2 linked regions of the Sus scrofa genome follow. The protein of the gene in region 2 interacts with the protein of the main gene of each other region in a pairwise test. Links are inferred from orthologs where the notes say so. Each region holds a gene or a part of one and is shown on either strand. Other genes may lie near its edges.

Region 1 (4,304 bases), on a different chromosome or scaffold from region 2:
CCAGTCTTTGGCCACTGCACATTCTTTGGCCTGTGTTGTATTGATCTCAGCCACCAACCAGATGAATCATGAGCCCTTCTGCACCAAGACAGAGAGCTTTGGCTACAATTGGGCTTCAACAGGGACCAAACGATTAACTTGGGAACCAGAGGGCTTCAAAGCCATACATGCCTAGAGCAACATTAGCCAGTGCTAGCCATGGTAATTCAACTAGCCTGATTAGGGATGATCAAAATAAGAAAGGGAGTTGACCACTAATTTAAGCAGCAGTTCCCAGGGCCTCCCAGAAACCTAGAGAGATTTAGGTCACTTACATTTGGGGGTCCCCACGATATTAAAAGGAAGAAGAAGAGAAGGAGGAGGGGAAAGAGAAAGGAAGAGGGGGAGGAAGGGAAGGAGGAAAAGTTGAAAATAAAACAGGGTTACAAAACTTGTAATATTTTAATACATTAATACCTTACACAAAAATACAGCAGAACAAAAAGGCTATTAGGAGGGTAGGATTTGTGTGACCTGGGCCCTACAGAGGGGGTTGCCCAAGTTTAAGCTGTGTCACTAAAAAGCGTTTTTTTTTTTCTTCTTTTTTACAAATCCTTTCATGTCTTTGCGACCACGGGTATAACCTTATTTGGCAAGAACATCAAATGCTTTCCTCATGTTCCTGTCAGCTCCCAGTAAACATCCTTTCCTTAACTTATGCACCAAGGAACCAAACTGTCTTGGCTTCCTTGGGAGCGCCTGTCTTCGGAGGTTTTTAGGACGGGGGAGGGGAACCGTTTGAGAATCTGACGAAAGCTCTGGTCCCTAAATCGCACCCAAAATATGTGTGCACTGAGGGCTGGGGGCTTGGCAGCCCCTAAAATCCATCCAAACACAGGCTATGGGCTCCGGGTTTAGAAATCCTCGGCTGAGAGGTTCTCTCCCCACGACTTTGTTCCTTGTCATGAAGACAGGGGACTAAAGGGAACCAGAGGCTCGGAAAACACGCCTTGACTTGGTGGTGGTGGAGGGAAGGTGAGAAGATGGGCAGCACCTGTGTCAGTACCAGGAGCAGGGGAGGCACCGCTTGGGACCTGTTCCAGGTCTTTGTTCAAAACCCAGCAATGCCCACCTTTAGCATGGTTAACATAAATAGTTAAATATAAAGAGAAAAAAAGGAAGCAACTAGCTGGGACCAATATAGCAAGGAATCTAACCTCCAGTAGACCCTAAGTCTCATTATATTCTGATTTTACTAAATTAGTATATCAAATAACATACCTCCCAGGCGCTCCAGTACCCACAGCCCCTTGCCTAGGCCACGCCTCCGCGTTGCCTGGCAACCGAGCTACGCCTGAGCAGGGAGTCCAGTCTCTTGTTCTCCGCTCTTCCTCTCCGCGGGCGGTGGGAGACGCAGGGGCGCGGCGGTCTTCCTGCTGCTTCTGAGGACCTTGGAGCCAGGAGTCCCCGCCAGGGGCTGCACAACGGCGGCGGTTGCGGGGCGAGGAGCAACGCCATGCAGGTGGGGTCGCGGCCTTCAGCGACCCTGGGGCACCCTAAAGAGGTGCCGGCTGGGCCCGAGGCTGAGCAAGGTGGAGGGGGTGGCCTTTAGAGGTTCGGTTCTCACATTTGTTTTGGATAAGAGCTAATTTTTGTGCGTCCCTGTCAGGATTGAAGAGAAATTCAGATCAACTCTAGGACAACACCTGTTTTTCAACACTCGAGATTTCGGTTTGTCGCTGGAGGAATTTTGGGGTTGCATTTCTCACCTGAAATTTTTACTGCCGCTCTGATTCTGACTTAAGAAATAGACTGTCAACATTAGCCCAAGTGTAATCCACTTTAAGTATCCTGCCCCACCACATTTTAAGAAAGATCAGAGAGGAAACCCTAATAGTTGCACTTGTTTTGAGAAAGACCAACTGTCCCTGGGGTTTTTCTTTTCTTTTCTATTTCCTTTTCTTCTCCCTCCTTCCTTCCTGCCTTCTCAGGGCCACACCCAGAGCATAGGAAAGTTCCCAGGCTAGGGGTTGAGTCAGAGCTGCAGCTGGCAGCCTAAACCATAGCCACAGCAATGGGGGATCTGAGCCACATCTGCGACCTACACCACAGCTCAGGCAACACAGGATCCTTAACCCACTGAGCAAGGCCAGGGATTGAACCAGCATCCTCATGGATACTACTTGGGCTCTGAACCAAAGTACTACTGCTGAACCACAACAGGCGCTTTCAAGGCGTTTCTCTCACTTGATCACAAAACCTGTTAGATTTCTATTAATTCCTAAGAAAGCTGCTCCTATGTTACAAGGTGCCTTATTAATCAGAAACCTGTGTTTTGGGAGTTCCCTTGACAGCTCGGTGGTTTACAAACCCGACTAGGATCCACAAGGTTGCAGGTTCCATTGCCTTGAGCTGTGGTGTAGACTGCAGACGAGGCTCTGATCCCAATGGCTGTGGTGTAGGCCAGCAGCTGTACCTCTGATTCGACTCCTAGGCTGCGATCTTCTGTATACCGAGGGTGTGGCCCTACAAAGCAAAAAAAAAAAAAAAAAAAAGCCTGTGCTTTTCTTTTTTTATCAGAGTAAAATTCTCACTTTCCAACTTCAGAAACAGCTTCTTCCCACTGGCTCCCCAAAATCAAAACCACTGTGATTTTTCTTGTTTTACATATTTAATTTTGGTAATCATGTGTGGTGTATAATTTGCTAGACTAGTTTGAACATAAATTACGTGTAATTTTTAAGGGGTATTTCTTTTGTCTTAATAATAGATTCCTAGCAAGTACATTTTGTTCACTATGTTAAAACATTGCAAATTTGTCTTGATTTGCATCTGCTCTTCAAGAAATAGGCTGAAATGTAATTGAGAGTGAAGGCAACATCACATTCATCTTTGTTCATTTATTTATTCGTTGATTTATTCAACAGCCAGTTATGCGGTGCTTATGTGTAGATATGGACTTGTTCTAAAAGAGGGAGTTCTTTGGAGAATAAGAGGGAGTCAGATGTAACTATTTATGTATGATAAATGCATAATACTTTTATCAAATAGATTGTGGTTTCTATTTCTATTACAGTTTCATAGATAATTTCTAAAAGTGAAGGGAAAATGAGAATATAGAGCATTTACTGTTAAATCCCACTGCAGCTAACTCCTAGATCAGTTAAGGAGAGCAGCCAGAGAGGTATGAATAAAACCCTAAGTACCTGACGTCATGAATATGAAGAAAGTTTTTCTAACAAGAAAATAATGACAAGCTCTCTCCAGATTCTGCTTACGAGCTCAAATACAAATGTATTTATCCATTGAAAATAATGTGGAGCTCATAGGTGACTTAGAGAAGTTTTGAAAGAAGTATTGGTGGTAGAAGCCAACTCTGGAGTAGGTTGAAGAGTGAATGGTTGGTAAATGTGATTATAGCATATATAGACAATTAGACAATATAAGCAATTACTAAAAGCTTGACTAGAAAGAAGAGAGAGAGAGTGGTAGGGGATGTGAAATGCAGGGAGGGTTTTTTAAAAAGTGACTGTTGTGTTTTCTGAAAATAATGGATTAGGATTTTTGGACCAACTCTCCTGCTGAACACAAGTAAAATGCTGGCTAGACTGTAAAACATATCTCCTTGAAAGTGTCACAGATAACATGATATTAAACTATGAGACCAAAATCAAAGGGAAAGTGGAAAACCAGGTGAATGCATTTCCAGAGCTGTAAAGTCACTTTTACCCCAAGGGTGTCTTATCAATCTGCTTTTTGGTCCTGGGTATAATCACAGGGTGAGGAGGAACCGAAGGATATGGTAAAACCTATTACCAAGAAGCTGTGGCTCAAGACAGTTCTCACAACCTGAGACATATTTCTGGGTGATACAGCAAACTTCCAACTGTTAAGTTGTTATCAATTAGTTATATACTGTAGTGCTTGTAAATGCCTGGAAAAAATAACACATCCTCTGTTGAGGAAGACATCTTTTTCTTAGGCCTTAAAGAATTCCTGCAGGTAAGGTCTCAAGGACATCAACAGAAAACGGTCAGAAGTAACCAAACGCACAAGGGAACAGGGACACTGTGAGTATGAACCAACAAAAACAGACTTGCAGAGACTTGAGTTATTGGAATGATCAGGAGCAGGTTATAAAACAGTTGTGCTTATTATGTTTAAAAAACAAAAGACCAAATTGAAATCATCTTCAGGCGGTAGGAAAATATAAAAAAGTAACAAAATTTTGATGAAGACATTACTATATAATACAGTGAATAATTTTGAGCCATTTCATGTATGATTGCATCAAAAAGAATAAAATACTTAGGAATAAGTGTAAT
Region 2 (4,294 bases):
ATGGTGCCTCCCACCTTGAGGGCGCTTAAATACTAGAGGATGGAGTATGTTTTGATGTTTATTGAATAACAAGATTACAGAATATTTGATTTTTGTTGTCAGTGTATTGAAGACATTTTTGCATTGATAAATGTTCTCTAGGAATGTGATTACATTCATCAGGTGTGAACTCTTGTAAAAATAAATTTTGTATCTTGAATTCCCGTATATATTAAGTGTATCATCAATATAAAAATAAACATTATTTGCTTAAAGTTTTTGTACTTCTTCAGAATTGTTGACAATATAAATATTAAACTGATGGGGCTTACTTCTTTCAGATAATACCTTGGATACTTCAGTCTTGGGGTTGTGGATTCCATGCGCGTCTTTTAGTTTGTAAATTTCTTCTGGGTCCTAGTTACGGTCTTTTTCCCTGCCCTCCTCCTGGTGGTCATAACTGGCACAGGCGGGGTGAGGGATTGTTTCGGGGGATCGGGTGGAAGTTCCTAGCCCTCAGGCTGGTGGTGTTGGATTTGGGCAATAACACATGCAACTTCAACGTGGAATGGCCGGCTTGGTTGGCACCGAGCATTCCGGAGACTCGACGTAGGCTACCAATTTGTACCGTGATACAAGGCAGTTTTACCTCCCTGCATTTTCTTCATCTGTCAAAAGTTGGAGGCCCATTAGTGGACTGAGAAATGAATGTGATGGGCTACCGCCTGCGTGTTTTTCTAAAGAAATGCGATGTCTCACCGTGCACTATGTAATAAGGGTATGATTCTCCAAACTTCTTTCACTGATACGTTATATGTCCTGGATTGCAGTATAAAATGTATAACCTGAGAGTTCTCTTGTGGCGCCCAGCGGGTTAAGGACCCAGCGCTGTCACTGCTGTGGTGTGGGTTCGATCCCTGGCCCAAGAACCTGCACGTGCCAAAAAATTTTAAGAATTAAAAGCAAAATGTATAAACTACAGTACGTCACAGGCACAAAACACCGGTTACATGGCGCGAGTTCTCAGTAGTACTTTATGGAGTCACAGCTTCTTGCAAGTGGCGAGGTGACTGTGTAGGGTGCAGAGGGATTGGGATGCAGGGAGAGGAATAAAAATTCTGTGCTGGCCCAGCATCACCACGGCCGGTGGGTCTCCATGCGGTTCAGCACAGGCTGCCCCCCCCTCAACAACTGCCTTCTTTCTCTTTGGCAACAGGCTCCTCCCACTTCCCCGGCTCCGCATCGCCCCCTTTCGAGGGACAAGAAAAAAAAGGAAACACTTCGGCCGCTCAGTCCTCCTACGCGGTCAGGCAGCTAGCTGACGTGGCGAACCTGCCTGAGGGAGCGCCGGGTCCCGCGCCCTCAAGCGGCTCGGGGCAAACTGCCACCCCGAAGCTCAAGCAGCTGCCGCGAAGGCTGCGCTCAGGCGCATGCGCGCGGTGGGAGGGCTGCGCGCGGTGGGCCTGCCCCGCGCGCAGCCACTTCCGGCGCGCGGGTGGAAGTGAGGTTCCGGGTCGCTGCCGTGCTCGCCGGCCGGTCGTGGGGGCTGGTGACGGGGGCCGGCGTTCACTAGAGGGCCCGGAGGCGGGGCTCTGCCGGCTGCCCAGAGAGCGGCAGGTGCGCGGGCGGGGGCAGGAGATGCAAGCAGGCCCCTCATTCTCCTGCTTGCTTCCGTGCGCCCCCAGAGCGGCCCTGACTGGGTTACTCCTGACCCAAGCCGGGGGCAGTACTGGGGTGCCGAAAGGGCGAGGGTAGGGGCCGAAGCGGGCTCCCCGGCCTGGGAATTTGGAGCCTAGGGGTCCGGAATTCCCGCCTGCGCGACCTCGGGCAAATCACTCTTCCGTGATTCTGAGTTTCCCTGCTGTCAAATTGGAGAGACTTTGGGTCCCTCCCTTCTTTGACAGTCCACGTACAGGCGGGTCTGGAAGGAGCCTGAGTGAGTGAGTGGAAACTACCGTGGCAGATGGCTGGCCTTTGGGTCTTAGACAGCTGTCTCTTACCCAACTTAGCCGTCTCTTTTCTTGGCGACTTTCTTAGTTCGAGTCAAGGCTTTGGGTCTAGCCAGGTAACGACAGTCAGGATCTATTGAGAATTTATTACTGGCCATGGGTAACCTTAATCTCATTCGGATTGTTTTGCTCAGGGCTCCCGAGGCGAAGTGAATTTCGCCACTTACTACAGTGAGTTTCAGTTCTTTGGCCTGTCAATGAAGCTTTTAGGCAAATCACAAATGCAAAGACCAGGGAGAGGGAGAGGAGACCACTGAGGATTGCGACAGTGGCAGCTTTTTCTCTCCCCCTCACCTAAATCCTTCCTCCTTCCTCTTCCTCTACCCTCGCCTGACCCCTCCTCAACATTTTGGCCTTACACTTGAGGAAATATCCAATGCGGTTTATTTTTGTTTTCATGCAGGACAGAGAGCTTTGACCTCCAAGCTGTTTTAAGTCTAGTAGATAAGCCAGGTGAGTAGCTGGTTTTCAGTATTGAAGGTAAAAGTTTTTGAAGACTCGTAAAGACTTAAATGGATGCTCTGAAGTGGTAAGAAGTCATTGGTAGATTTTAGAGCAGTGCTTAGGTATCCTCCACAAAATATCAAAAGTTAAGGTTGGAGCCAGAATGTTAATGTAGCATACACGTTAGGAGGGAAAGATGTTTGAACCTCATGGTGAATATTATGTAAAACATTCTGAAGAAAAGAAACCTACTCGAGGTAATTTGAATCACCCTTAAAAGAGAACCACACAGCACTTCCAGGAAACATTTAAGGCTATCTGATACCTGTACAGTATAGTTGTGTGGCTTGCTTGTTTTGTTTTGTTTTTTTAGAAAAAAAGTTGTCAATTTTTTCTGGTGAACGGCTGATTGGAAACCATCTTCGAACTTTAGAACTTTACACCTTTTCGTTGTATTAAGTTACATATTTTTGTCTTCATCTTTAACAAAACAAAACGCTAAACTGTATGTAATTGGGGGAAAGATTCAAAAGCGTTGTTATGTTAATGTTTGCCCCAGGAAACTTAATGTGTGTATACCACAGCCAATGTGGTATAATAAAAAAGAAAGTGAGGACTTATGAGTCAGAGTCCTGGGTTCAAATGCCATCCCTGCACATAACCACACAATCTTTGGCACATTACTTCATCTCCTTGAGACTGGATTTCCTTATCTGTATATGTGCATATGTAGTAGCTTTTTAAAGATTTAGTAATTGTGTTTTATTTAGTGTGCATTAAAATTGTGAAACTTAATTTTGAAACCTGAAGCTTAGCAAAGCAACCCAGATGTGAAATATCTCTGGTATTTAACTTAGAGCTCTCTTTCATCTGATTTATAGACACCCTGTTGCCACAAGCCTTTGGCCCAAGTTTCAGTGGGAATGCAGCTAGTTTGGATATCTGGAACTTTTTAGGCACTTTTTTGGAATTCCTGGTTGCTGGCCTAACGACTACTGTAGTGGTTCAAGACCTTGTCATCAGTGCAGGATAGCCACACAGCAAAATGTTTGCAAAACTAAAGAAGAAAATTGCAGAAGAGACTGCTGTCGCCCAGAGGCCTGGAGGTGCTGCTAGGATCCCACGATCAGTGAGCAAGGAATCGGTTGCCTCTATGGGAGCTGACTCAGGAGATGACTTTGTAAGTATCTTCTCTAGTTTTTAATATTTGGTCAGTCTCACTATATTTTTAAAATAATATTTGTGGGAAACTTTCCAGCAAGTATTTTATTTTTAAATTGCAAGATTACTTGTTTATATCTAATTCTTCTTACTCTGAGGTGAGGTGCTTTTCTATTTTTTTTTCTTAATTTTCACAAATCCCTTTTTATATGCTCTACGTTGTCCTCTTGTACTCTTTTTTCCATCTATATACCTTGTGTATCTTCTTTTACATTCTGTTTTTCAAAATGCTTTGGCCTGTTGTCTCTACACACATATTTTAAGTCATTGTTGCTTAGCAAGTTCTTTGAGTTTGGTGTGGAATTAGCCAGGGAATTAGCTCTATGTTAACGGAGAAGTTGATGAAGAGATGACACTGGTGGCCACATTATGTCCCTTATTTGTAAAGTATCTTTGTAGTTGGAAAGATTTGAGGATACTGCTGTGGTAGGTAAATGTCATGCCTTACGATTAAAATTGTGTCTGTGGCATATGACAGGGTCCTCTCAAAGTGAGATAACTTTTTTTTTTTTGCTTTTTAGGGCTGCACCCTTGGCATATGGAGGTTCCCAGGTTAGGGTTCGAATCAGAGCCACAGCCACAGCAACGGGGGATTTGAGCCACATCTGTGACCTACACCACAGCTCACAGCAACACCGGAT

What was found.
Region 1: the proteins of GOLGA1 (region 2) and PDCL2 interact in a two-hybrid assay, tested with the Homo sapiens proteins (2 studies listed by BioGRID). The two-hybrid records come from large-scale screens. The link is inferred for Sus scrofa from reciprocal best matches to the Homo sapiens genes GOLGA1 and PDCL2.

What each region holds. Positions count from the first base shown.
Region 1 is NC_010450.4:54,947,129-54,951,432, reverse strand, and holds the start of PDCL2 (phosducin-like protein 2), read left to right. Parts: upstream 1-1,471; 5' UTR 1,472-1,495; coding exon 1,496-1,543; intron 1,544-4,304. UniProt on the Homo sapiens protein: Essential for male fertility, spermiogenesis and acrosome formation.
Region 2 is NC_010443.5:265,703,056-265,707,349, reverse strand, and holds the start of GOLGA1 (golgin subfamily A member 1), read left to right. Parts: upstream 1-1,442; 5' UTR 1,443-1,596; exon of another isoform or gene 1,597-1,919; intron 1,920-2,391; 5' UTR 2,392-2,441; intron 2,442-3,313; 5' UTR 3,314-3,477; coding exon 3,478-3,612; intron 3,613-4,294. UniProt on the Homo sapiens protein: Involved in vesicular trafficking at the Golgi apparatus level. Involved in endosome-to-Golgi trafficking. Mechanistically, captures transport vesicles arriving from endosomes via the protein TBC1D23.